Linked DNA regions of Medicago truncatula. The main gene of each other region encodes a partner of the protein of the gene in region 4 in a complex. Links are inferred from orthologs where the notes say so. Each region holds a gene or a part of one and is shown on either strand. Other genes may lie near its edges. The genes, in order: carbon catabolite repressor protein 4 homolog 5, carbon catabolite repressor protein 4 homolog 6, carbon catabolite repressor protein 4 homolog 3 and carbon catabolite repressor protein 4 homolog 4.

Region 1 (7,250 bases), on a different chromosome or scaffold from region 4:
TGTGGTAACATTGCCCATTTTAACCAACATAAAACTTACTCGGCTGTTAGTTTACATGTGTCAGATTCTGGATTATTATTGTTTACCTGTAAATAAATGGTGCAATAGAGTGATCAGATAAAAATACAAAACCTAAGATTATTGGTCTAATTCAACAAGAACATACATATGCATAGTAGTATATAGAATAGTACTAGGTATAATAGAATTTAAAAAAGATTTAATTTTTTTGAATAAAAGATAATAAATATATCTAATCAAAGACAACAAGCAAATAAAACACAATAGCTAGGAAACAAATTAAAAAAAATAAAAACAAACCGCATATACCTCCAAAACACAAAGTTGGGCAACATTGTGACGCATACCAAATTTCTGAAACTCTATATCTTCTTGGTGCAAAAGACTGAATCTGCATTCAAATTTTGAAAATATACTGCATTTAGGCCAAATTTGGAACTGTATTTTATCAATCGCATGTTCTATGATTTCTAAATCTTTGATCTATTGGCTTTCCTTGTAACTAGGAATGCTTAGGCAGTTATTGTCAAAGGTTACAAATGTAAGATATCAAATAAAGTAATTATAGATACAAAATCCTAATTATCTAATGGATTAAGGGGTAATGGAAACCCACAATTTGTCTTTCCAAAATATAGCACATCCATCATTGGCTTCTCCCGTGCGACCCTATTGGTAATAAGAACCCCGGTAAGGAAAAATTGATTAAATGTTTGGAGATCAAAAGCTTATATGACCATTCAAATATGTATATAACTTACCTTGTAAACACTTTTAAAGCCATTGTTCTGAAAAAGATCATCTAAATCATCAAAATGATCAACCTCCTGCAGACATTGGATTTCTAGAAATCAATTACTGACAACTTATTTCTAGGATGCATGAAATCAATTATGTGCCAACTGGCATTAACATTAACATTAACATTAACATAAGCATGAACGCATAACTTGCATCTCAACAAAACACATGAAGCAACGGTAAAAAAAATTACCACAGATTCCAATACCCTTTGGTACATGAATGCAAGTAACCAAGAGTTGTAGCTAAATTAAAAAAAACTATGTCCAACTCTTCTTTTTCAACATTTCAAGACTTGGTAGAGATGCATAAATGATGAATGTAAAATGGTTACAGGTTTGTTACAACATATTAAGTTGTGCTATGCAGTGTATAACATAGGTAAGGATTATTAAATTACCTGGAAACAGAGTATGCTTGCATTGTAGCTATCAATCTCTTCAAGTATGAGCCTCTTACGTCTGCCCCAATCCAGGAAACGTCGAGGGATATTAGAATACAAATCCAGATGATTTGATGCATTTTCAACGCCAAGTATATTGTATGAAACAACTACAATCGTATCTGCAAGACATGGAAAGGAATCAGAACAGTAAATATGAGATAAACACAATCTACTCTGAAGTCTAAATGACAAACATTCCATCACTAGCTCGAAAATGGAATGTTCTTTATCTATGACTTCATCACAAACAGTTCATTATGTTAACAACCCACTATCTATAAGCAAGCAAATTCCATCATTCTTTACATTCATGCCACTTTTATTTTTGGTAAATATACGATTATAAGTGACTTCAAAATTTTGAAAAACAGTCAACAATCATGATTGTGACCATGACTTCAAGATTTTTTATATGTACATGATTGCATCACGACCAAAAATGCAGCCGCATCAAACGCATTTAAACACAAGTTTACTCAAAATTAACAATCTCAACACAACCGGAATTCAGACCTTACAATGATGCTACTTAGTACCAAAGATTTGTTACCATAGTCACTACTCTAGTAAGCAAGAAAGAAGAAAATGCATAACCCTATATGATGGATTCCAAATAAAATTTCTTTCAAAAATAACTATCTATCCTCACTCAATTAAACTTTACCAATCACAATCTCATTATTGTTTCATACGGAAATTCTCAATTTTAGTTTCCTTACATTAAAGTCTCAACCTTAGAAATCCAACACTTAGGCCATGTTTAGATAATCAACTTAATTTGCAGCATACAGCATAAGCGCTTATCGTGATAAGTGCTTATGTATAAGCTATTTCGATAAAACAAGATAAATAAATCCAAACTGTTTTTTGTATAAGCCGAAAACAACTTATGAATATGTCATAACATAAGTTCTCTCAAACAATATCACAAGTGCTTATGCATATAGATTGTATAATTTTTAAGCTGTTTTCATAAGCTATCCTGGAGAGCTTACGGACATAAGCTGAAAACAGATTATAAACTTGTCATAAGTTGTTTTGATAAGTTCTCTCAAACAATGTCACAAGTGCGCATAGTTCTCCTAATCAGTCTGGCAAAAACTTATGCCAGTATACTCTCAAATAAGTCAATCCAAACAGATCCCTCATGCTTAAAAACCAAACCATATCAACTTTTTACCAAACACTGCCAATTGAATCAACTAGCTTATCCAATATAGTTATCCACTACTAGCTTATCAATTATCTGCTATAAGCTAATCCGCTAAAAGTTAACTAATCAGCTATCTACTATTTTTTACCAAACAAACCCTTAATGCTTAAAAATTAAACAACATTAACATTTCAGCACAAAAAATGAATCACATTTAAATGCAAAATTTCAGAGTGAAAAATAAAACTAAAAAAATGATAAACTTTACAAAAAGGATAGAACTTTCTAGTGATTCTGACCGGCGCAATCAGAATAATCTTCAGAAGAGAAAACCCATTTCCTAGAAGATGAGGAAGAAGATGCTAGTCGATTAGAGCTTGAAGATTCGAAATGAGAATGTTTTCTACGCTTTGATGGATAATTGCCGGTTGAACTTTCCAGTGGGAGATTCTCCCGTTTGCGACGTGGCATGGTGGTCGCCGGAGTAGAGGATTACGGTGGCGCGTGTGATAAATTAGGGTTTGATGGTTGATTTAGGATACGGTGTCGTTAAAGAGGTAATTATTTTGCAATTTGGTTTTTTATAAAATAAATAATAGTGATGAATAAAATGTATTAAGTGTGGTACCTTTTTAAATATAATATTTAATATTCAAATTAAAAAATTAATTTAATTTGTTTTTGAGAGAAAAATTTAATTTAATTTTTTTTTGAGGGAAAAAATTAATTTAATATAATGTATGAAATCACAATTTATTTTAATAGTTATGGATTGAATGTGTTTATATATTGGTTAAGAAAATAATTGAAATTTTTATTTAGTGATTATTTAACATATGTGTGGTTAATATCATGCTTTGGAGGATTGAATACTAAAGGAAAGAGACATGGGTTGGGAAATGATGAAGAAGAATGAAGGTTTTCTTTCATCTTGGTACACATATACGTCATCATGTCGTTTGATCCTTTTTCAGTCATTACGTCAGAATTTTTGACCAAGTTAATGTCCTAGTTAACGTCAAAGATTAAAGTGACTTATAAATTGAAAAGTGAAGGATGTATTTAGATCATCGTTTGAGTCAATGACTAATATAACAATGAGTTACACATCCAAGAATCTAAATAATGGTTTGTCTGATTTAATTTCTTATCTCAACTAAACCAATGTTACCCGCGCAACTATGGCTACTTAATTGATGTCGCATTCTATAAAAATTTAAGTATAAGTGCTTAGTCTTAACTCGACTAGAAATGAACGGAATAAAAAATACAGAGATATCAACTCACAAACCCATTGTTCTAAGATTTTATTTTTAGATAGAAATATGATATCAAAGTCTCATACAACATTGAAACAATTGTAGTTAATTTGTCAATAGTCCACAATCATAACCTAATATGTGATCAAACAAATGGATAACTTTCAAATTCTAAGTTTGATTATTTTCTAGTAAAGTTGGAGAGCCCCTAATATGGACCACTTTTTTCAAGGACCACCCATGGTCCTTGCTAAATGACCAACAATAGTGGGTTGACACACTTCTTCTAAGTTTACATGAATCTTTATTTTCACGGGCCTTTTGCAATCAAAACCAGTAAATCATCTAATTCACAACAAATCACTAACTCACTCTAGTTACCGCAACTTTAATTTCACCATTTAACAAAATCTTAAATTCAATCTGGTTTCCGGTTCACAAACGTATTCGCATTTGAATAAGTCATTAAGCACAAAAGACAAGCTTCAATTTGTTTTTTGAGAAAAAGGGAAACTGTTAATGCTTTCACATTCTCCGCATAAACAACCACAATCAACACCTCCATTATAATCACTTTCATACAAAACCCCAAGTCAAGTTTGGAACAAAATTAATGGCTCCATGGACCGAGGATGTTATGCGGATAAAACGTCATGAATGGGTGGTTTCAGAATCGACGGTGGTGACATATCAAGCATTTTGTGGTTGTTACATTCTTTGTGCGGAAGTTGTTCATCTTGATAGACTTGAAACGGATGCGGATAAACCGTACAAAATGTATACCGGAGTGGAAGTGTAATTACCTACCTGCTATTGCAGGTATTTACTAAGGACCATGGGTGGATCCTAAAAAAAAAATCCATATTAGTGGCATTACTTTGATATTTCCATGCATAAGGTTAAAATATCACCCAAAAAAGTATAGTTCAACAAAATGAAGTTTACAAATTATGGATTGAATCAATAAATGCCAAAAAATAGCAAGAAGACAATCTAATCTGACAGGGAATCAGAATCCAAATTTATTGGAGTTGGACAAATACTAAAATTCAAAGGTCAAACTTCATTGGAACTCAACTACAATGTCATGTCACAAAAAGATTGGATAGAACAAGTTTTCTTGTACAACAAGTAATCTCATTTTGGACATTGCTGCTTTCTTGTTTTGATCCAACATGAAAAAAGCTTTTATTGTCCTTTCAGTTATAAATTTAGGATAACATATATATGACAAACTGATCAATGGTCATTTTTAGATATTTTGTGTTGCATGCTGAGAGAGGAAATGAAAGTTGCAACAGTGATGATATGATCATGGGAATCCTGCAGGTATTGCTGAATCTCTTGATACTGTAGCCATGATCTTCTGACTTATCTAAGTTAAGATTATAAATAAATTTATATCATGAAAGATATATATAATATATTTGTTTTATTTTCACAAAAAATAAGCCTTGATAAAACCTCTATATCTCTTTGTAACTTAATTAATATATTGCATTTTGATATATCAGTTTATGTGGTGTAAACTAAGTTATTGCCATTACTTGTTAGACCAAATTATGGATAATTTGCATTTAAATATGAACATTAGTTGAAGATTCAAATTATAATATGCTGCTGATTTAGTATAAGTGAAAGAAAATATTGTCAATTTCCTCCTCATTTGTTTAAGTAAAATCTTGATTTAAAAAACCTGCTATATGTAGCATATACTATATACTATATAAGTTTTGCCAATAAAGTTTCAATTTATGTCATGAAAACCTTGATTTGTGCAGCCACAATCATGTGCGGTGAGTCACATTTTAGTGGTTCAATCAAGATCGGAAGATTCATATTTTAAACTTGATATCTTAAATGAATGTTTGGTATCACGAATTCACGATGACTCATTGTGATTTCGACAAACCTACCGTAATACCAAACATGTACTAAAATTTAAAAATCAAAATCAACATTGGAATCTAAACCTTTTAATCTTGATCAGATTGTCTACGTACGTTTTATCCTTGTGAGTTTAGCTCCGTTGGTAAGAACAATGCATAATAATTTATGTAAGGTTTGAGGTTCAAACCCCGGCCACCACAAAAAAAAAAAAAAAAAATTATCTTATCTACGTATTTAAATGCATGTTTGGTATAACGGTGACTCATTGTGATTTCGACAAACCTACTGTGATACCAAACATACGGTAAAAATTAAAAAAAAAATCAAAATCAACGTTGAAATCTAAATCATTCAATTTTGATCAGATGGTCCACATATGCATGACTGACTACATTACACAATCCAAATTCTTTATATATACACCTACACTCTCACACACACAATTGCCACAGCTACATCATGAAAGAGGACAAAGTTTCTCTCGGATAAAGTAGAAAGTTTAGACATTGAGCCATTGCTGAAAATCTAAACAGCATTGTACAACATTCTTTAAGGAGTTATATTTAAGGAGCAACAAGAGGGAGGGGCCATTTGGTGGGGGAAGGGGGGGTACCTTGTCCATTTGTGGTGGAATGAGGGGTGAATAAATAGTAATTAGGAAGCAAAGAGCTCCTTTCTTTCCAATACGAAGGGCTAAGTAGAGGCAAGAGCTGTCATCTCATGCATCCGGATAAACTTAAATGTTTGTCGGCTACACGACATGAAGTTTGACCAAGTGCATGATATGAGAGCAACTCCACCTTTCTGCTTAGTCCTACCATTGGATTGAAGGGAGTTCTATGTTTCACTTTAATGTTTTTCTTTCATCATGGGTGAATGAATTCAGTTGCTGTTTTATGCTCTTTGAACAGGTTTGTTTCTCTCTCATTCTTGTGATTAGGAGGTTTACTTTTTACTTTTGTTATCATGTTTATATGTGCAGATTTTCAAGCTTTGTATGATAAACCAAGAGTCTTCCAACAACACTGCATCATGTGTTTGCTTTGCCGGATTCCCTGCTGTAGGAAAAAGACATCTTTACATGCATTAAACAATATTGACAGTTAATTTGAGATTGGACGGCTCATATTACTCGGTGCAAAATCAATAAGTGGTAGAAAGTCTGCATGTTTCGTGTTCGACACCAGACACATATAATAGGTAGTTTTGCCAAGAACTAGGTCTAAATACATTGTATAGTAGGTAGTTTTGCCAAGAGAAGATCACAAAAGAGATAAGATGGTTTGGATGCTATTGTGCTTGAAATTTTGGTTTTTTTTTTTTGGACTTTTTTCACAAAAGAAAATATAAACTTATTTAATCTAGATTTACAAAAGCATGGTTATCAAATCAAGATTTAAAATATGACATTATTAAAGTTAAAAATATCAAAATTGAACATAGAATTGTCCAAAATAGATAGATTACTACACCAACATTTATATCTAGCAATTTTGAGTTCAGTTTTGTAAGGAATGAACTCCAAATCGTTCCCACTTCCATCATCCAACTTCGGTCCAATCGCAGTACCGATGTAACTGTCAACTTGCTCCATCGCGCCACCATCGTCGTAATAAAGTGGATTTGGATGGAGACTGGCCAGGGCGTCCGACGCAGGTGGAAGGTAGAGTTTCAAGGTGAC
Region 2 (7,261 bases), on a different chromosome or scaffold from region 4:
ACGACAAGTTACAACTTGTGGAATATAGAGAGAAGTGGAATGTGGAATATGGAGAGAAGTGGAAATACTGCCAATCTATCATTATATGATACACACACTTATACAAACATGCTTCTCAAGTAAAATAGCAAAAGTGGGGTATCTCTGTCTTTTGTATGAATGGTATGCCAACCCTTTACTTTGTATAGGAAAGTAAGAGGGTGTGTTGGGATTTTTTGGTAGTTAGAGTACTACTTGTACTTCATCTAAATTGGTGGATCTAGCATCACTTGTACTTATATTCTATCATATTGAATAAAAGTTGTTTGCTGTTCAAAAAAATAATAATAATAATAATACAAACATGCTTCTCAAGTAAAAGCAAAGTTCTCTGATTAAATAGCTAGCTAATATCAGCATTTCTACTCCCAAAAATGACAGAGAACTATAAAAGCCCAAATGAAAGGGACATTCATATATTTATGAATAAATATTATGTAATGTCTGATGGTCTAATCATCATAAAAACAAAAGCAGCCAAACATTTTCCACAAAGTGGGATGGCTACATGGATTAATCAACATTGTAAGGTTCAGGCAAGTATTAGTTCCAAAAATATATCAATGATAGTTTGATTATCGCATAGACATAAAAATGATGTCATCTTAACAAAGTTCAAAGTAGAACCAAAGCCCGAGAGAAAAAGAACAATACTAATAAAAAGTGGCACCAGCAGCACTGAACAAAAAAAAAATTACAGTAGGAATGCTTATGTCATGTAGCCTTCAAACATATAGATCATCTAACCAACCTTCCAGATGCCTCTGTATCCCTTAAACTTCAAATCCTCCTCCAACTCGTGAAACCTATCAACCTCCTGGAAAATAAGATCGAAAGGAAATTTTCTTTAAACTCTACAGTTAATCAGATTTTCCATGTGATGTGCAGTATCCATGCATGTAACACAATTGAGAAATAATGATGATATGATCAGCAAAGAAGGCATGAAAAAAATTCCAAATTTTGCTGAGATGTTAATGTAACTCAAAAACCCAGTTTGACAAATTAATGTAAAAGCATTTTTTGGAAAATGAGGTAGAATATGTGATGATATGTAAAATTTCAAGTCTGAAGCCAAAAATTATAAGTGAAGAATCTCTCTTGCAATATGTCATCGAACCAAATTTTACAATAGTGTTACAGTGTATGGTCACAAACATGTCAAATAGCATATTAGAGCAAGAAGTTAGCATTGTGGCATAATATGTAATAGATTGATAACCTGTAAACACATGATATCGGCAGACCACAGGCCAAGCTCCAAAACAATTTTACTCTTTCTCCACTGCCAGTTCAACATGTAAGAAGGTATATGATAATAAAGTTTTCTCCAGTGGTCCATAGCAAGGTAGTCCGCCAATATATTATAGGAAAGGACTTTAAACCTTTCTGTTGTACAAAGAAAGAAAAAATACAGAAGCTAAATTAGTATGGCGATGTATTGATGTAAAACTCCAAAACAACAAATCATGAGCAACAAAGATTGGGAAGAGGCAGGAGTGATAAACAATCAACCTCAAACCTATCGTCCTCTCACTCACCAAATCATCAGAGAGTTACAATATTTTCATTTATGTAGTAGATTTAGCTCTGAGACTCCTACTTTGGACATACTTCTAGCAAAAGATTGAAATATTGAACCAAGTTTTCTTCTTACCACCCTCATCTTTTCAATGTTTTTCACCTAAGTAGTGGATTAAGGTCCTACTTAGGACATAATTATAGTAACATATTGAACTTTTGAACCCAATGGTTCTTCTTACCACCCTCATTTTTCAATTAAACTTGTGTGCTCCGTCCATTAAGCAATAGCATCACAAATTTAGAAATGCCATTTACCAAACCATGTATCTCGAATTGTCATTTGATTTCTTGAATTAATGCCTAAATGCATGTGGTTTTTCCTTGATATTAGCAAGTTTACAACTCACATTAATTTTTCGTAATCTGACAGTTTTAGGCCCTGTTTGGATAAACAGCTTAATTTGCAGCTTATGCATAAGCTATTTCTATAACAATAGATAAAATAAAGTTAGTGTTTTTGTATTGGCTATAAGTTGTTTTTATAAGCTATCTCTAAAAACTTATAAAATAAGCTAAAAACAGTCTCAGAGTGCTTATGTCGGTGGATAAGCTCAAATAAATCAATTCAAACACGCCCTTACATGACGCAGTAAATATGAACAATGCAAAACAGCAACATTATGAATTCAGACTGCTAAAAATCAAAATCAACCCAATCCCTAAGTTTTAAACCAAAATCATAATAAAATCACATAGTACAAGAGTGAAGTTACCACAACGAGGAGGTGGTGGCGTCAATGCATTCTCCCACTCTCGATAATCTGCAGGCTTTGCATAAAAATTCTGTTGCGGACGAAATTCACGTCGGTTATCATACGGCGGCCGAAAACGCAGTGGCGGAGGATGAGGCCGAGGATTATAAGAAGGATTCTGATATTGAGGTGGTGGATGAGGACGAGGATTGTAAAGTGGATTATGATGGTAAAACGGCGGTGGAGGATGACGATGAAGATCGTAAGGTGGATATTGAGGTGGTGGATATGGACGAGGATTGTACTGTATTTGATTCGCAACATTTTCACTCTCACCTCGCCGGATTGCTGAATTGGCGTCGCGGACTGACCGTAAGTGATCGTCTCCGGTAGCTAACTGGTCTCTTCCGCCGGAGTATGAACGGCCGGAGTATCCTCTCCGGTGACCTCGGTGCTGCAAAATTTGAAGGAAAAAATGAATCCGTTGTTAGTATGAAGAAGGGGAGAGAGAGAGGGAGGGAGGGAGGGAGAAAGTACGTAGGGGCGTGAAGACATTGTGGCGGTGGAGAAGGCGGCGTCGGTTGCGGCGAGGAGATGGAGGGACGGAGGATTGCGTCGCATTGTTTGGGAGTGAAACTGAAACTATGAGAGTGGAAAAAAGCGCGTCAGAAAGTGAACTGGCGCGTTTATTCACGCTCGTTTAGACGCGTGAGGTTATGCACGAATCTAGATAAACTAAGAAAAAAATTATTTATTTTTTGAGAGAAAAAACTATATTTTTAGAATTGATTTAATGGAAATGTTAACCATTGCCCTTGTGGCATTGGTTAAAGTATTAAAATAAGTAAATTTACATCGAAAAGTGGTGTAATCATTGATAAGAAAAAAGTAAAGATTTATATTTTCAAGATAAAGTTTCTATTAATAGAATCCTTAACTATTGTTCTTAGGGCATTGATTAACAAGACCCTTGATTTAAGAATTGAATAATATTTGATTTTGCCAACAAAGGAGTGTTTGTCAAAAGATACTAAAAGGAGTGATAACATTGACAACAATTTTTTTGTTTGAAGATGTTAAATTAGTTCATCCAAATTAGCATTGGAGAAATTGAAGTTCTGAAGTATCAAGTCAATACCACCAACACTCTTTTTTTAATATTCTCTCCAACCCTCTCATTTGTATTGGATGAAATTAAATAGAGTTATATAAAGTAATGAAACTCCCGTAAGTTTCATGTAATAAAAGTGATTGTGTTAAAACTAAGGGAGGAAAAGACAATGTTGTTAACACTCCTCTACGGTATGTTAAGTTGGACACTTTAATTCGAATTTAAACTTAAGACTTTACAAAATTACGATTGTGTGTAAATTTTAGGCGTGCTTGTCACTTTGTATACCGACAAGAAAAAAAAAATACTTAAGCTTTGATTAAAAAAGTGACAAATTTGTTATTTAATCCAAAGTTTAGTCTATTCACTTAAGTAAGTAAATTTTGTTGGCCTAAAAGACTTTTCTTAGTCCATAAATCATAACTCAATCGACAAAAAAGCTAAAATTAACGCGGCATAATTTCTCACGAACCACAACTTTGTGTGAGTGGGCGTGGTAACGAAGAAACATCTCATCATTTGTTTCTATCTTGCGATTTATTTATAACTCTTTGATACCTCGTGCATATTTAGTTAGGTTCCTCTTCGGTTGATCCTCATCATATTTCAAATCATTTTGTTCAGTTCGTTTACTCATGAGGTGTTTATAAAAGCGTGATGTTTCTTTTCGCATCTAATTTAGCTCTCTTGCACTTGGGTTTCATGGATTGAAAAAAAAAAAAAAAAGGTTATTCAAGAACAAGTAAAAATCAATACCTTCGATTCTCAATAATGTAAAAATTGCTTTCAATTTGATAGTTGAAGGCAAAATATGCTAATTTTGCCTTAGGTTATCATCGTTAATGGCTATATCATTTTATTTGCCTCGGCATAGGTTGCTTTTTTCCTATTGGATTGTTACGGTTGTAAAATTTGATAAGTCTGTCTGATATAGGGATGTAAATGGATGTCCATGGATGCGGATAATGTGATATCCGTGTCCGCTCCATTAGACAAATATGAAATCTATGTCCTATCCATATCCGCGCGAACATCCATTTAGCAGATAATCCACAGATTTTGAGGTATCTGCGAGTTTATACAGATATCCATGAATACTATTTATAATAATAAAAAAAAAGATATTAATTTTTTTTAGCTGAAATTTAAAAAAGTTGACCACATGCATTTTCTTTTCTTTTTAGTAAAACATAATATCACTACATTACAATAACAACAAAAATCATTGACTCAACAAAAACATAAATAAAGTTCTTTGATTTGACAAAAGTATAAATAAAACTCTCATCATATTCAACAAAAACAAAACTTCTTGCTTCAACAATCCCGACCACTTTCACTACCTTCTAAAAGAGTGTAATACAAACTTGAAAAATCGTGTAATAACTAATAACAACTCACACTACCGAGGTTTTTTCTTAGAAATTTGAAAAGTATTAAGGTTATTTATGTAATTTATTCGGTTTAATAGCAGGTATGGATATCTGCGGGTGCGGATACCATTAAATCTGCATCTGTATCCATTAATTAACAGGTAGATAAAATATCCGTTTATTTTATCCATGGATATCCATTAAAGTATCCGCTCCATATCCGTGGCGGATATCCATGGGTGCGGATTTGTTTGCCATACACTTTGAGAATGTTAATATATTCCATTTTATCTCGTGAAAAAAAAAAAAACAAATTCACTCGACTTATTTTATGGCTTATGATTGATCTTTTTAGTGAGATAAATACTCTTTTATGGCTTAGATAAATACTTTTAAAAAGACTTATTGTGTGTTTGGAATCACGGCTGGAACACCTTTTGCACAAACATGCTATTAAACATTTTCAATTAAAAAAAAAAAATCTGACTTTGGGTTTGGGCTGACGTATGCTTCTGGCCTGTTCTCATCTAAGAACGAACCTATAAATATGTCGGTTTACTCGTTATAGAAACCTATTTTGAAACTGTTTGAGATTAGCGATGAATTTTCTAAATTCGAAACCGCCTCCCAACTACGTCGCCGGACTTGGTCGTGGCGCCACCGGCTTCACCACCCGCTCCGACATCGGTCCCGCACGCGCCACCACAATAGGCAATCCCGAATACTTTAGAGGAAAAGAACCCGCAAACGACGAAGACGATGAAGATCATACACAATACGACGAGTTTGAAGGTTACAACAACGCTGGATTATTCAATTCGGATGATTACGATTTTGATGATAAAGAAGCCGATGAAATTTGGGATTCAATTGATAAGAGAATGAGTAGGTCTAAGAGAAACGATCGCGTTCTAACAGAGGAAAATTCAAAACCTAAATTTACTGAACAATTTTCTGGTTTGAAACGGAATTTGTATACGCTATCTATGAAGGATTGGGAGAGTCTTGATGAATTTCAGAGTGGTATTCATTCATTAAGGAATAAGAAGAAAACTAGGTTTGAGAGTTTTGTTCCTGTTCCTGATACTCTTCTTGAGAAAGTAATGAAAGAGAAGCAACATGTGTCAGTAATTGGTGGAAATGATTTGAATGCTGTTGGTGAGGGTAGAGGAAATGTTTTGTCATTGAAATTGGATAGGTTATCGGATTCGGTTTCGGGGATGACTAATGTTGATCCAAAGGGGTATCTTAGTGTTCTTTGTAACAATGTTATTGCTAGTGATACTGAGGTTTCAGATTTTAATAAGGCGAGGTTGTTGTTAAAGAGTGTTACTCGAACGAATCCGAAGTATGCTTGTGGATGGATTGCGGCTGCCAGGTTGGAGGAGTTGGCGGGGAAGGTTAAGGAAGCAAGGTTATTGATTAAGAAAGGATGTGAAGAATGTCCGAAGAATGAGGATGTTTGGTTGGAGGCTTGTAGGCTGGTGAATCCAGATGAAACGAAGGGTGTGATAGCGAAAGGTGTTAAGTTTATTCCGAATTCTGTTAAGTTGTGGATGCGGGCTTCGGATTTGGAAGATGATGATGTGAATAAGAGTAGGGTTTTGAGGAAAGGGTTGGAGTGTGTTCCGAATTCGGTTAGGCTTTGGAAGGCGGTTGTGGAGCTTGCGAATGAGGAAGATGCTAGGCTTTTACTTCATAGAGCCGTGGAGTGTTGTCCTTTACATGCGGAATTGTGGCTTGCACTGGCCAGGTTGGAAACTTATGACAATGCTAAGATTGTTCTCAATAAGGCACTTTCTAGGTTGCCAAAGGAGGCGACTATATGGATAGCGATGGCCAAGTTGGAAGAAGCTAATGGGAATACAGACAAGGTTGGCAAGAGAATTCAGAAGGCTTTGGAGGAAGGAGGTGTGGTGATCAATAGAGAAACTTGGATGAAGGAAGCAGAGGTGGCAGAACGAGGTGGTTCGATTGAAACTTGCCGAGCAATAATAAAAAATACAATTGGAATTGGAGTTGAAGAAGAAGATAGGAAGAGAACATGGGTAGCAGATGCTGAGGAATGCGAGAAAAGAGATTCTATTGAGACTGCCAGAGCTATATATGATCATGCCTTGAATGTCTTCTTAACTAAGAAGAGCATTTGGATCAAAGCAGCACAACTTGAAAGAAGTCACGGTACAAGGGAATCTTTTGATGGTTTACTTCGTAGAGCGGTCACCTACATACCACAGGTTGAAGTTCTTTGGCTTATGCTTGCCAAGGAAAAATGGCTTGCCGGAGATGTGCCTGCAGCTCGAGCACTTCTCCAAGAAGCTTATGCTGCCATACCAAATTCAGAGGAATTATGGCTTGCGGCTTTTAAGCTCGAATTTGAAAATCACGAACCTGAAAGAGCTAGAATGTTGTTGGCTAAAGCAAGAGATCAGATAGGAGGTACAGAGAGAGTCTGGATGAAG
Region 3 (7,688 bases), on a different chromosome or scaffold from region 4:
TCAGGAGTACTATTAAAATCACCAGCTAGGATTACAGGGGCATTACCCCATTTCTCTGAGAGGGACTGTGCTTTTGATGAGAGAAAACGAATCTGCAACATTTAATATTTCACAAGATAATGTAAGGATTAGGGGTAGGCATTAAGCTAATGTAAATACTTAGATATAAGAGAAATGATATTTGTACAACCATTTTCTAAAACTTTTGTGACAACTTTCTCTCTCATACTCACATTATATTTTTACTTTCTCTCTCTATTACTTTGATATTTGTACCAATACATACTTTTCTTGGTAAAAATGTGGTTGTCCATTTAGTTGTCAAGCAAATTGATGTTCAAATAACACTACTCTAGATATAAATAGGGTTTTCAAGCTTAAGCCAATGTAAATACTGAATAGTATTTCCAAGATAACAAAAACATTTTAGGATTAGGCATTAGTAGTTATCCCAACTGATCAGCTAGACCTTTATGCAAAGGAGGGAGTAAAAACCTTTGTTTATAGGTCAAAGAGGGAATAAAACACTTACTTGACCTAATTTAACTTCTCCCCTGTTTGGGTTATAGAGTACGTGGATATTACCAACCAACAGTCTTCTTGAGTCAGATCCAGACATCTGCCTGTACAGGATGAAGTTAAAGATGCAAAGAATGACCAATGGATGCACGGTAGGACAATGTTTACATTAATAAAGCTAAGACAATAAAGGATTGCTACTGCTTATATTCAAGCTATTATAAGAGATCACGCGACATAAAGCAAGAGTTGACGAAAGGAGCAAGGAATTCAGGCAGCATTCAAGTGCCACAGCACTCATGTTTGATAAATATGCCCACAACAACGTTAATAATCAATGTCACAACTATGTAAGGTATTCTCCTTTACATGCACATTTTCTACATTCGGAAAGTCATGAATGCAATGCAGTCATAAATCGGCAATGGTTCAAACCCCATAGGTAGCAAACACCTACTGGGAGGGAAACCTTGCATATGCTTGTTTTATGGTTCCATGGGAGCAAACAATCTCTAATATTTTCTTCTAATGGTTTAGTGTTCTGATTAAAGAGTTTTCTGACGCTGATTTTGTTTAACTGTGCCTAATGCAGTGCTCAAGTAATTTTTTTAAATAGAAAAAAAAAATTGTAAAATACAAGAGCAGAAGCGAAGTTTTGAAACGCCAAAACGAATAAGCATTCGCGTCATTTGCATCAAGGAACTCATACCTCAAAAACTAGAAGTTGAGCAACATTATCACGAAGGCCAATGTTCTTGTATTGAATGCTTTCTCCATCTAACAATCGGAACCTAACAGACAAATAAGAAAAAGACTGACCAAAGTGAATAAACTGGTATCAATTTTTATCTAACATAACAAGCAAAGTGAGCTACTAGTAGATTACTTATCAGCTTTCCAAAACATTGCACAACCGTCAGATGTATCTCCAGTGCGTCTCTGCAGCTCCATTGACATAATTCATTAGGCTCCCATTAGTTAGAACTTATAAACCTACATATCAAGGTGTACTACTACCAATACTATAGTGCTAAATATTTTTTCACATTTTGACAGAGATAAATCAGCATGTCTTATTGTCAATGCAGATAAAATCAACTAAGTTTTATCATTAATTTATTAATGAACCGAAAATTGATCGAGAATATACCAGGCACTAAGAAACCAAAGTAAAAAATAGAAACTCAAACCCTAAGTTGAAGTCTTATTTAATGTTTCTATACCATAATATAAAGAGAACTAACTATCAATTGTGGATTTGTCAAAAAATATTTTTCTTTACCATTTTATGCTTAGTAACACTTTTTTTTCCTTCAAATTTTTAAGGGTTTTTCTATCATGTGCAAATTTACACATGTTAAGAATTTCAAAAAAGTAAGTTTGAATGGGAACTTGTGCATTTAGTATTAAATATGTATCATTTTAATAGATACTTGTTGTTTTTCCATAAAAAGTGTTCACTTTTAGTTGCTTTAACATGTGCAACATTGCACATGTTAGACAAACCCAATTTTTAAATTTAAAAACCTACAAAATTGATATTGAAACTCAAGTTTAGGTAGCATATTATGAAACTGGAACAAGCAAATTATATCAGCATCCGGAAGCAATAAATAGCACTTAGGGCCTATTTGGATTGGCTTATTTGAGCTTATCTATTGACATAAGTTTTGTGAGACTATTTGGGAGAACTTATGAAAACAGACTATGAGGACATCGCTCATAAGCTGTTTTTAGCTTACTTTCATAAGTTCTCCAAGATAGCTTATGCAAACAGCTTATAACTTATCCAAAAAGCTTTATTTTATCTTTTGCGATAGAAATAGCTTATAGATAAGCGCTTATGATGATGAATGCTTATGCTATAAGTTGTTTATGGAAACAGAGGCATAGTATTAAATTCAGAAAAATGTTTAAAGGAAATGAAAGTTACTAGCACCTTATAAGAACCTGCATATCCTGCCTTAACCAAAATATTGGAGAGTTCAACGTACATGTCCACCTCCTGATCAATGAGTGAGAATAATACATTTTTGAGTTAAACAGCTTAATTAAGTACTTATTTGCATGGTGAAACGTTGGTTCTTACTTACTTGTAAGCAGATAATATCAGGGTTCCATTCAAAAAGTTCTTCAGAAAGAATCTTTTGACGGCGATTCCAATTGATGTAACGAGAAGGAACATTAACGTATAAATCAGTGTGTTGAGAAGCATTTCTATCAGCAAGTATGTTATATGAAGCTACTGTGAATCTCTCCGGTGATGCGAGGGATTGATCGAATGCTTCAACCCAACGGCGTTGGATTCCGCGAGAAGAAGAATTGGAATTTGTATTACACTGGCAGTGAATTTGTGAAGCTCTTGTAGGGAAACTGAATTTGAAGAAAGAGGAGATGAGCCAAGTTGAAGAGGCCATTTCCAAATCAACAATGAAACGCGCCACAATTCGTTATCTAATCCCGATGCTTTTCTCTCCTTTCATTTTCCCTTAATACTCTACTTGCTTTTATTTTAAACTAAATTAGTACAACACAACCTTCTCTCTCATACTTATATTATATTTTTATTTTATTTTTTTCTTTTTTCTTTCTATTTGTTTTTGACCAATAAAAAAAAAAAAGTTATATATCACTACTCTCGTTTTATATATCCTTGCAAATCTTAATTTGTAATATTCCTCTTTTTTAGGGAACTTGTAATATTCCTATTCTTGTCAAAAAACTATTTTTAATATTCCTAGAAAAAAAAATCCTAACGTGAAACCTAATCTATATCTATATTTCTTTTTTATTTCTTTATTTCTTTTTAAGTCAGCCTCGTGCAGATTTAATAAATTCAAATTATTAAAAAGTGTGTTTATAAGTTACACAAGGTAAGAAGACAAAATCACTATGGATGATATGCACTAAACTAGTCAATCAAGTTGATGGTGAATCAATATAAAACATGCTCTCTCTCATTTACACTTCATCTATCTCATTTTAATAGTCGTTTAAAGATTATGCATGGTTTTTAAATAAATTATTAATTATATTGATTTTAATTATAAAATTAGGTGTCATTTATTAAAATAACATTATTAATTATAGTTAGTTGAATAATTAAGTTGGATGAAATTCAATAAATAAAGGTATAATAGTTGAATAAAATAGTAAATGTTACATAAGTGATTAATATTTTGAGCCAGAGAAAAAAGTTAAAGAAACAATTAAAATAAGACAAATGAAGTATTTTGTTTTAGAGCAAATTCCATATGGTTTAACTTCATTATTGTGTACATATATAAATGAAGTTAAATGTTTTGACAAAGAACCTCTAATACTTACTTAACCTTTTTTCTAAGCAATAATGGTTATCACTAAAAATAATTTAAAACTAAAAAACACAATTCAAATCTCATTTATTGTGTTTCCATTACTTTTTGAAAAGAGTCTGAAGGTAATTTATGTATAAATGTATTTTGAATTGTATAATCTAAAACGTATTTTTCAACTTCGAATTATACAAACTAAACGTTTTAGAGAAAGAGGGTCTATCGACGTTTATGGTCACGGATAATACACCCTCACGTCTTACTCATATTTGCAGAACAAAAATAATGCAAGGTAGAAATTTTATCCACTCATCAACTACTTCAAACTTTACAATCAATTTACCACTTCTGGATCATCCTTGACAATTTTACGTTTCAATAAATTGGATAACTTGAACAGAGAATATATTATCTTAATATCTAATCCTAAGGTACATTATGCATACCCCATTTTCTAAACCCTAATGCACTGGGCGGAAAAATGCTCATTAATTGCCGAATTTGAAATTCAAATTTCACTGCCAGGGAATACAAATTTTGTTGTTTGTCTGCCACACTCCTATTTTTGTTCAATTTTCAGAAAAAAGATCAAACTTTGTCTTCTCTCTCATTTTGGCACAATTCTCTTTAGTTTCATTCTTATTGTCCCAAGGAAAAAAAAAAACCTCTGGGATTACACGATGTTTTACACATCCGATCCTTTTATGACCTTTTCCCCTTCTTCATCTACCTTTCCTCACCTCCTTCTCCCTGCCACCATCACACCTCTACCTTTTCTTCTCTTATTCATAGAATTTTTTTCATCTTCCCTTTCTTAATGTTCTTTGTTTCCTCTGTTCAAGATGTGGTATGGATTTGGCGACTGAAGATTAATAAATTTCACTCATCTTCAAATCATATCTATGGTGAGTTGTTTCCTTTTTCCATACATTTATAGTTAATTCATCACCTTCTTTGTTAAGTTTTCAACTTTAGTTACTTCTTCTTTTACATGTTTGATTGAATGCCTCATTGGATTTTACTTTTACAACTCATTCTTCTTGGGTTACAAATGTGAGTTCTAGATTTAGGCTTTGGAATTGTCTCAATTTCCGCTACATTCTTCAATGAATTCTTTTCTTTTATTCAGTAGGTTCTGAATTCAACTTTCAGCACTACTATGCAAGAGATTGAGAAGAGATAAAATATGGACCTTGAATTTATTTTCTTTATCTGGGTAACTTTTTTTAGATGTACAATGTTCTGGATTTTCCCTTTGAAAGAATTAATATGGATCTAAACAGAGTTTATTGGATGCAGATCAATACCATGTATTTTGTTTTATTGGTGCTGATATGAATTCAACTAGAAGTAGCTTTGTAGGATTGATCCAATAACTGATATTTTTTAGCAGAAACTGTCATAGAGAGGTTGGCTATTGAGTATTTGCATTTCAGTTTATTATTTGTATGCTCCATCGCTAGCAGAGGAAAAAGAATTGGCATATGAGTTTTTACCTAAAATACTACTTCATATTAATGTTTTATTTGCTGTAAAATTGCTTTATACATTATGTATTCTTAACTTATACTTTGGGTGTTGATTACATACACATGTAGTATGTAACTTTATTAAAATCCAACAACTTTGAGAAAGAGCTTTCGTCACATTTCAAGTTACATGTGTTGCCAGAAAGATAGTGCTTCTATTAAAATCCAACAACTTTGAGATAGTGCTTTATGCAGACTTGCTAGAAAGATCAACTGTGTTGCCAGAGAGTTTTAGCAGATGTGGAACAAATAATCACAACATTGGCCTCTATTTCATTCCTCAAGATGAAAGGTGATATTTTGCACAAACTTGAGAAAATTGAAGGTGTGAGTTCCTATAATGTTAATGTGATATTTGGACTTCACTGCTAGCCTATGTAATGGTACTCGGTTGATAATTACAAAGTTTGGTAGTTATGTTCTTGAAGAAAAGGTGCAATCAAGAAGCAACATTGGGGAGAAAGTCTATATGCCTAAAATGTTAAAAATTGTACGGTGATTACATCAATACGACTATTAATGTAGCATATAACAGATGTTTCAGAATGTTTAAACATCAATTGTCAAAAAAATAAATAAAAATCCTATTAATAGTCTCCGTACAATTTTGAAGTTGCAGTAGTTGATAAATTGCATTTTAGTATCTTTTTCAATTGTTCCCTTTTTTCATGTGTATTATTATTTTTAACATTGTATTTGGATTAATTAGATTATTATTTAAAACATAATTGAATGTTTTGTTTTCCATCAATATGACCCGTGCGGCAGCACGGATGCAAGGTCTAGTTATATTCAAATGGAAAACAACACACCGATAATTCAACCTATCCACCTCTTGCAAGTTTTCCCTATGACTTAGTTCCTTCAAGTGTGTACAACACTCATCCGGTAAAAGAAACTGCAACTTTAAACTTATCCCGTAAAAGAAACCAACTTTAACTAATAGAACAACGATTGTGTGACCACTTCCGACCCACTTAATTAATACTACATCCGTCTTTAATTACGAGACCTATTCAAATTTTTTCTTTTGTCTATTTTTATAAAATCTCTTTCAAATTTCAAAGTATATTAATTATTTCTTTATCAATATACCTCTTTTTTTTAAACATTATCAATACACCTTTATTTATGTTAGTAGATGTTTTCTCAACGGTATATAATAAAGGGTTAATAGTGTTTTTCACCCCTGTAATATAGGCTATTTCCAGTTTTCGCTCCTATAAAATTTTCGGTTTGATTTGCATCCTTGTAAAACTTTTTTTTTTCTTTCCGGAAAACACCCCTCCTCCATCCAACTCATCAAATGCGCATATGTGGCGCTGACTTGGCTTTTTTTTTTTAATTTTTATTTATTATTAATTGTCTACATCAGATTTTATTTTTTAAAATATTTGAAAATTAATTTTCAAACAAAAAAAAAAACAGAAATATTCAGATTTTTTTCCATAAAATTTAAAAATTGTAAAAAAAAGTTTTTTTTTCAAATATTAAAAAAATCAGAATTAACGATAAGATTTTTTTGAAATATCGGTTTTTTTTTTTAAATTCAAATATTAAAAAATTAGAAAAAACAAATTCAAGCTTTTAAAAAAAAGTCATATTTTTTTCCAGAAAAAAAAAACAGTTTCTAAATTTTTTCTACAAAAAAAAATTATGGAAAATGTTTTATTTTTAAAAATTTGGATACAATTTTTAAAAAAATTTAGAAGAAATTCAGTTTTTTTTTTTAAAGATTCTGAAGTTTAATTTTCAAAATAAAAAAAAAAAATTAGAAAAAACAAATTTGAAATTTAAAAAAAAAGTCATATTTTTTCCCGAAAAAAAAAACAGTTTTAAAATTTTTTCTACACAAATTTTTTTTATGGAAAATGTTTTATTTTTAAAAATCTGGATACGATTTTCTAAAACATTTAGAAGAAATTCAGATTTTTTTTCAAAAATTTTATTCCAGATTTTTCAATTTTTTTTTAAAGATTCTGGAGTTTAATTTTCAAAATAAAAAAAAATGTTAAATTAGAAAAAACAAATTCGAAATTTAAAAAAAAAAAACAGTTTTAAATTTTTTCTACAAAAAAAAATTCTGGAAAATGTTTTATTTTTAAAAATCTGGATACAAATTTTTTAAAAAATTTAGATGAAATTCAGATTTTTTTTTTCCGAAAATTTTATTCCAGATTTTTATTAAATCATTTTTGAAATTAAAATTTTAGAAAAAAATTATTTTCTAATTTAAACAAAAATAAAAAATTTGGAAAATATTTTTCGAAATAAAAAAAATCCTGAATTTTTTTATTTTCAAATTTTTAAAATTTATTTTATTTCT
Region 4 (7,061 bases):
AGGACCATTGAATTTAAATGCAGCCAGAATTCCAACACAATCACGCTTTAGTCTCACATGAGGATCATTAGGATCTCCACGATCTACTGTACCCGATGTAGGTCCTGCATCAGAAAACCAATTAATGAAGAAGCAAAATGCTCAGAAGTCTGTACAAGTAACAGAAAATTCTCATTTTCTGTTCTAAAACAATCAATGCAGGAACATCAATGAAGCAACAGAAAGTATAATCTCAAGAGTACAATCTCAAGAGTCAAGATATGAAAATACTTTTTATTAAGAATAGAATTACACACACACACACACACACACACACACATACACATATACAGAGAGACAGACGGACACAGAATAATTTTATTTCAATTTGCATTTACCAGCTTTGGTCGCATCATCCTTTTGTTTATCTGGCTGGGTTGTCTGGACATTGTTTTGTTCATCACCATTTGAAGAGTTCTCATCTTGAATTGTCTTTACAAGATCATTGTATTCAATTTTTTCCTCCAAGAGCAACTCTGCACTAAACAGCACAAGGTATGGATAAATTTTATAAAGATTATAGGTATCAAACGAAAAAAAGACCACAAATAACCTCAAAAAGATGAGAAGGCAAAGAGAGAGGACGGATAAAGAGAACCATAGTTGCCGGAATACCAAATAACTGATAACAAGCAAGAGTATCATTATTGCTTAATTCAATTACCCCATAATTACTTCCGGGTTTTTGTTATTCATGAATCAGTGTATCTATTAAACAAATTTTTCAAAGGAACAATATCATATAAGTGCTTCTATGATCACAAGAGTAATATTCAAATCCTTCCAAGCTTAAAACTTACACTCTACTAATATGCTGACACAAGAGAAAGGGATTTCAATTTTTAAAATCAATAATTGGGCCCTTGGATTAGCAAAGTAATCGTAGTTAATCTAATTCAAAAAGCATATATTCCGGTACAATATCCAAGCTAAGGTGTGCTTCAACCCCACAAAAGTCAAAACCGACTTGTAAGGTGATCATTGTCCAAGCGAGAAAAGAACTAATTAGATCGTATCTTTAGTCAGTGTGGCACTCTTAACATATTACCCTTCAGATTGGACATCCATAGCGTGGATCAATGAGGGTGGAATGACACAGATTTGAACACATCCCTTCAAGACCACGACAGAACATCTAAAGTGTGGACAAATGCGGATGGAATAACAGAGAACTTGACCGAATAATAAATCTAGGATAGACTAAGATACCATTTTAGATTTTGGATCTGAGGGATAACTTAACTTCATCAAAATCGACTTGTAAGACAAGGACTGCTCAATAGTTTTAGATCACAATCGCGGATGCATTGTGATCCTTGATATAGTGAAAAAATTCCAGTAAAATATAACCGATAGAACCACAAATGGAGATATCATAACACTGATGTCCACGTCATTTTCAAAACATTGATCGTAGGCTCCTATCTAGCACCAATTATAGCTCCAATAACTATAGGCATAATCTCTACTAGTACATCATAAACATGTCAATGTAAAACTAAAAGCTAGCTAGTTGAGTTTTGCAAAAATGTTGTACATACCGGTCATGCTTGTAAAATATGCCACACCCATCACGCTTTTTCTCTCCACTTCTCTTCATATAAATAGAAGAATATCCCAGCTCCTGCATCTTTCCTTTGTAAAAGCTATCAAACTCGTCAACTTCCTGAAAAAAATCACCATAACAAAGAACATTATTCAAAAGAAAGTACTCAAATAATCAAAACTCAAGGCAAAAGTTTGAAATTAAATAAAAGAAAAAACCTGTAGGCAGAAAAAATCAGCTCCCAAGTTCTTGAGAACATCTAAAATCGAGTTTGAACGATATTTCCATCTACAGAAAGCAAAATCAATTATTACAGTTAAAATTCAATCTACATATGCAAAAAATTGTTACGCTATCAGTATTCAAATTCAAAATTAAGATGAAAAGTATGTTACTTGAGAGACGAAGGAGGTGAGTATGGGAAAAAAGAGCTCTTCACATAAACCTACAATACATAGGAAAGTATTAGAAAATAATGTTATAGCAAATACATGGTAACGGTATCTATATACATACTAGATTTGAAACCTTTTGTCCAATATAGCACTGACACTTCATATTGAAGGTGTATTAAGTTTCTGACTTGTATCAATGTCAGACACCAACACGACACTAACATATATAATTAACTATTACTAGTGTGCATGCGTGTGAGTCTCACTTCCTAAAAATGTCTTCGTAGGTTACTCCCTCCACTGTTTTTTTTTATAAGAGACAAACGAGTTAACAAAAGTTGATATATCTGAATCATAATAAACACAAAATACATTAAGTTTTGTTGATGTACCGGAGGGAGTATTTTAGTTGGTAAATGATAATCGTAGCATAAAACAAGATTTGAGAAATTAGCATACCTGAGCCAAAATGTTATAGGAGACAAGGCTGAATCTCAAGCCTGAATTAAATATAAAAAAAAAAAAATGAAGAAATTCGGCAATGATAAAATTCTTAGAAATCTGAATGACATAGAAAATTCTTTATCGCATCAAAAAGTATCCATGCTTCATTATAAACACGAAAAAAGTATGAGAGGAATGTGTTACTTACCATCAGGTTTAGTTCGGGAATGTATATCGACGCCTTCAACTGAAATGAATTTGGGATATGACATTGGTGTTGGTGATGTGCTCATTTTCCTCGCAACACTAAAGTAATTGAGTTGAATAAACAAAACACCTTGAATATTATATACTAGTTGATTGCATTTTAATGAATAAATACCTAGTTGCAGAGAGTGAATGAGGAAGCGAAGCAAGAGCTTTTAGCATAGCCGAAACTGACAGCGCCGTTTTTCTACCATTTGCTCATTTCGTTGACATTGTGTCAGATCTAGAAGGATTCATCCTCAGGCTCAGACTTCAATTGGACCAGGCCAAATTATACCCAACTTAAACATCAATTAATTTTGCTTCGGAATTGCTCTCTAGACACCTAGTGATTCTCACATACACCTCAAACTGACAAAAAATACAATTAAATTATTTCACTTTTAGGCTTTTAGCAATGAGTTCAAGAGAAAATCTCCGAGAGCATAGCTTAGTTGGTATGGATATTGCCTTTTATATGTAGGGACCGATGTTCGAACTCCAAACACTCAACTTATTCACAGTTAAATTGTGTGAGCTCTAGCCACTAGGCTACTTAACCAAAAACAAAAGAGAGAAAAGACGCATAAACTCAAGTTTATGTGTAAATTTTGGGCACTACTTGCACAAATACTCATTCGTCCCATAAAATTAACATTCATGTATTCCTTCATACGTTAATTTTTTCCTTCGTTCATTCCATCATTCATACACTCATTCATAAAATTAGACACAAACAGTCATTCGTTCAAGCATTCATACCATAAGATTAACATTCTAAATTGACCAAGTATCTAAGTCATTCATTCATTCTAAACCGAAAAATAATTGTTTATGTAATAACATACCAACATTCATCATTTATATGAAACAAAACTAAAAACAAAATGCAACAAAAATCATCGGAAAGTCCTCCTTTCCTTCTTGGACTTGATACAGAGTGGTCGACATTGTTTCATTTGCAACACGCTGAAGACAGACATATAGGTCGTCATATAAAGTACCGTTTTTCATACCATCCACAACAATGGTCCTAACAATCTTTAATCAATTCAATGTGTCCAGGGCATCCCTGGCATGCTCCTCCTCAATCACAACCACATTTTCCGACCTAGGTGAATCTTCATTGATCGGGGGCACTACCTTCGGATGACTCCACCACCAAACCACTTACTTGTAGGTTTTTACAGGAAATGTGGCAACAAATCTAGTTTATATGACTTAAATTTGTTGGGAATCAAGAAATAGTAGAATCTTGTGTAATTATTACTTATATACATGTTTGATTTATGTTTTCAAGATAAAATTTCTCATAATAAATTTCTTAAACAATATTCTTAGGTCACTTGTTATTATAACCTTTTTATATTTAAGTTTTTTTTATTAGTACCAGGAAAATATCAAACCAAAAACAAAATTACATATGATGTCAATGATAAAACTCCTAACATTTTTAACATTTAAAGGTCATACTAACTAGTGTTTCAGAGACATTAGTCTCTAGTATCTCTACGCACATAGACACTCCTTAGCATTTTTAACATTTAAATCATGAATTCCCTCAATTTAGATTGATGTGAGAGGCTGATGCAATTACACCACATTCTCTTAACCAATAGCTCTTGCGGGACCAATGAGGCCGTAGTATGCTACTAGGCCATTTTCAACCAACGACTTAAAACCAATAAAGCACTTCAATTCTTAAATTTATTGGTTCCACTTCGACTTGCGTATCAATTCAAATTAAGAGACTTAAAAATAGCAATTTTATTTTATGAGTGGAAACTAGCTACAACAACTAATCATTGTGGTATGATCATTTTCAAACATCAAAGTTCATGCAATTCAAGAGTCTTATTTCTATACGATATGTTGATTGGTTGACGTATATCTGCCATTATTTTTTTGCATTAAATTAAAAGGGTCAATTCCAGAATCATTTCATGTTTCTAGACGGCTTCTAAACGTAATCAAGTTTTAACCACCATGTATATATCCATATTCCATACCCACTTACTAGCACATCAATATTATCCATTCAGATAAGATTGTGTTAATTAACAATGACTAGTGGTTTTTTGGTATCGATCATATAAAAATTACTTTATTATTTCATAAATTTAAAGAATAAATTATTGGTCCTTATGATTTTATAAATCAATAAAGTTAAAATAAAACTGTCTCATAATTATTTGGTAGGTGTTTTGGACCTGTCAGAAGATCAACCACACAATGACATGTGACCTAAACTTATACCACTCTAAAATTCTAAGCTTGGATAAACACGTCAGCTTGAATGTACCGTACCATACGGAAGTACGCTGTCGTGTGATGATCACTCTACACGTATTTATCATCTAATACATGAGAAAAATTAGTTAGAAGTGTGATATGGGCACCACACCAATTAATTTCCCTAATTAGCTAGCTCTTTTGATGTTAACATATGTTAAGATGATTAGATGCAAAAGCAAACAATTAAGTGTACAACAACATGACAGGTGTAGTTGTTGACTTAATTTCTTCTTCAGTTAGTTAAACCAAACTGATCCTAACAAATGAAGTTGTGACATTTTAACTCCTCAAACACAGATAGCTAGCTAGCTAGGTTCTTATTGGTCAATATGGTACTCCGAATTTGGTTTCTAGCTAACTTTATTTCTGTAAGTGAGAGGCCTAAGATTTTATCCAAATAGTAACACTAACGTCCTTTTCACATTATGAAATTCCAGTTGTTCTTTGTTAATTTCACTTCCATATCACATGCTATGTGCAATGCATTTAATTTTTTCAGCTGCCTTATGTTTAGTTTATCATTTTTCTGTTAGGTGTAGGCAAATAATCATCATTAAAATTATTGTAATATGGTCTCTTAAATATATTTTTATATGATAGAAAGTTGCATTGACATTTGATACGTAGAGTAGCATATTTGATAGAGCGGAAATGATAAATCTCGTTAAGCTATATTCGTCAAAAACTAACAAATGATATTTTAACGTAGAAAAAGGAACTTTGTTAATCTCTTCTCCTCAACTAACAATTGATATTTTATGTGGTAATAGTAGAATTATATTGTTGCTTCATGCTTATTACTAGATTAATCTTGGGTTAAATTATATTTGAGTTTCGCTTAGTTCTTTAAATTACAAACATTAGATGCTTTGACCCTTTAATTTTTTTTCTTACATTCAATTTTGATCCCTTAAATTGTATTACGTTCATATGTTGATCAATTAAGTTTCAAGCATATAAGATATTTCAATCCCTTAAGTTACAAGTGATAAATAAGTTAATTTTCTCTATCAATCTCTTAGTATTTGTAACTTAATTGATCAAAAGTGTTTAAAGTTAATGACTTAGTGGACCAAAGTCTATAACATTTGTAACTTAACAACCAAATTGAACAAGAAAAAAGTACAAAGAGACTAAGGTGTGTAACATTTGTAACTTAATAGAACAAAATTAAACCAAAAAAAATAAAAAACAAAGGATCGAGAACTTGCTGCCCAATTTTCAATGGGAACAAAATAGAGGTAGTATTTTTTTTATGAGAACATATATAACATGCTATAATATTTTTTTTGTGTTTGACATTGATTTTATTTTATTATAACATGATCGTGATATATTGGTTGCTCTTGATAGAAAAATGTTGTAATGCCCCCTTCCCCATTATGTTGAAGCAAGGAAAAATGTATATTTTGAACGACATATTAATATATCTGTTCATAGGAATAACTTGTTACTAACATAGTATAATGTAACATGATTTGCAAAACATTCAATATCTGTCTGGTTTGTTGACCTCACCAATTGTTCACATTTGTCATAAAAAGAAGAATTATTGGCTTAATTTCAAGTCAATAATTTAGAATCATCCACTAATAGTGCACTATTAATTTTTTTTGAAGGGTAGTGAACTATTAAACTCTTGACCTTGAAATATTTATTGGACTATTAGGGACGTGTTAACATATGGGATTTAAGTTTAAAAAGTAATTTTGAGTTTGGCAGTTGGCACAATATATAATAGTGACATAAAAATGTGACATTTTAAAAAGCACCGCACACCGTCAATTGCGTATGCCAGTTGTATAGATACACCATAAATAAACAACTTCCAAAACATTTCTCAAAAGAAAAAATATTAAAAAGATACAAAATTCTCCAGCCACCACAACTTTCCATTGCAATCATGAGATTCATATTCCATAAGCCAAGTCTTGTTCATACATGGTTGAAAACCTAACTAATGTACTCCTAGTATGTAGCATGTTTGTCTACTGCTCTTTTTAGTTTTACAATGTCATTTATGCTTAGAGAAAGCTGAGATAAACGTGAAGACTGAGTATTCACTCACATACACACAAATTTTAGCATTGCAACTA

Evidence for each region.
Region 1: carbon catabolite repressor protein 4 homolog 4 (region 4) and carbon catabolite repressor protein 4 homolog 5 share a complex: the UniProt entries of both Arabidopsis thaliana proteins name them as parts of the CCR4-NOT complex. The link is inferred for Medicago truncatula from reciprocal best matches to the Arabidopsis thaliana genes AT1G31500 and AT1G73875.
Region 2: carbon catabolite repressor protein 4 homolog 4 (region 4) and carbon catabolite repressor protein 4 homolog 6 share a complex: the UniProt entries of both Arabidopsis thaliana proteins name them as parts of the CCR4-NOT complex. The link is inferred for Medicago truncatula from reciprocal best matches to the Arabidopsis thaliana genes AT1G31500 and AT5G11350.
Region 3: carbon catabolite repressor protein 4 homolog 4 (region 4) and carbon catabolite repressor protein 4 homolog 3 share a complex: the UniProt entries of both Arabidopsis thaliana proteins name them as parts of the CCR4-NOT complex. The link is inferred for Medicago truncatula from reciprocal best matches to the Arabidopsis thaliana genes AT1G31500 and AT3G18500.

Annotation. Positions count from the first base shown.
Region 1 is NC_053047.1:39,091,944-39,099,193, reverse strand, and holds the start of carbon catabolite repressor protein 4 homolog 5, read right to left. Parts: upstream 3,007-7,250; 5' UTR 2,892-3,006; coding exon 2,720-2,891; intron 1,387-2,719; coding exon 1,223-1,386; intron 849-1,222; coding exon 783-848; intron 691-782; coding exon 638-690; intron 413-637; coding exon 331-412; intron 87-330; coding exon 40-86; intron 1-39. UniProt on the Arabidopsis thaliana protein: Acts as a catalytic component of the CCR4-NOT core complex, which in the nucleus seems to be a general transcription factor, and in the cytoplasm the major mRNA deadenylase involved in mRNA turnover.
Region 2 is NC_053042.1:2,231,435-2,238,695, reverse strand, and holds the start of carbon catabolite repressor protein 4 homolog 6, read right to left. Parts: upstream 3,002-7,261; 5' UTR 2,937-3,001; coding exon 2,853-2,936; intron 2,770-2,852; coding exon 2,337-2,769; intron 1,429-2,336; coding exon 1,262-1,428; intron 857-1,261; coding exon 791-856; intron 1-790. Other genes in the region: protein STABILIZED1, read left to right, coding at 5,399-7,261. UniProt on the Arabidopsis thaliana protein: Acts as a catalytic component of the CCR4-NOT core complex, which in the nucleus seems to be a general transcription factor, and in the cytoplasm the major mRNA deadenylase involved in mRNA turnover.
Region 3 is NC_053049.1:47,848,938-47,856,625, forward strand, and holds the start of carbon catabolite repressor protein 4 homolog 3, read right to left. Parts: upstream 3,023-7,688; 5' UTR 2,937-3,022; coding exon 2,613-2,936; intron 2,525-2,612; coding exon 2,459-2,524; intron 1,459-2,458; coding exon 1,406-1,458; intron 1,311-1,405; coding exon 1,229-1,310; intron 620-1,228; coding exon 533-619; intron 93-532; coding exon 1-92. UniProt on the Arabidopsis thaliana protein: Acts as a catalytic component of the CCR4-NOT core complex, which in the nucleus seems to be a general transcription factor, and in the cytoplasm the major mRNA deadenylase involved in mRNA turnover.
Region 4 is NC_053046.1:10,822,609-10,829,669, reverse strand, and holds the start of carbon catabolite repressor protein 4 homolog 4, read right to left. Parts: upstream 3,004-7,061; 5' UTR 2,854-3,003; coding exon 2,807-2,853; intron 2,731-2,806; coding exon 2,633-2,730; intron 2,481-2,632; coding exon 2,440-2,480; intron 2,031-2,439; coding exon 1,981-2,030; intron 1,874-1,980; coding exon 1,804-1,873; intron 1,706-1,803; coding exon 1,581-1,705; intron 521-1,580; coding exon 378-520; intron 105-377; coding exon 1-104. UniProt on the Arabidopsis thaliana protein: Acts as a catalytic component of the CCR4-NOT core complex, which in the nucleus seems to be a general transcription factor, and in the cytoplasm the major mRNA deadenylase involved in mRNA turnover.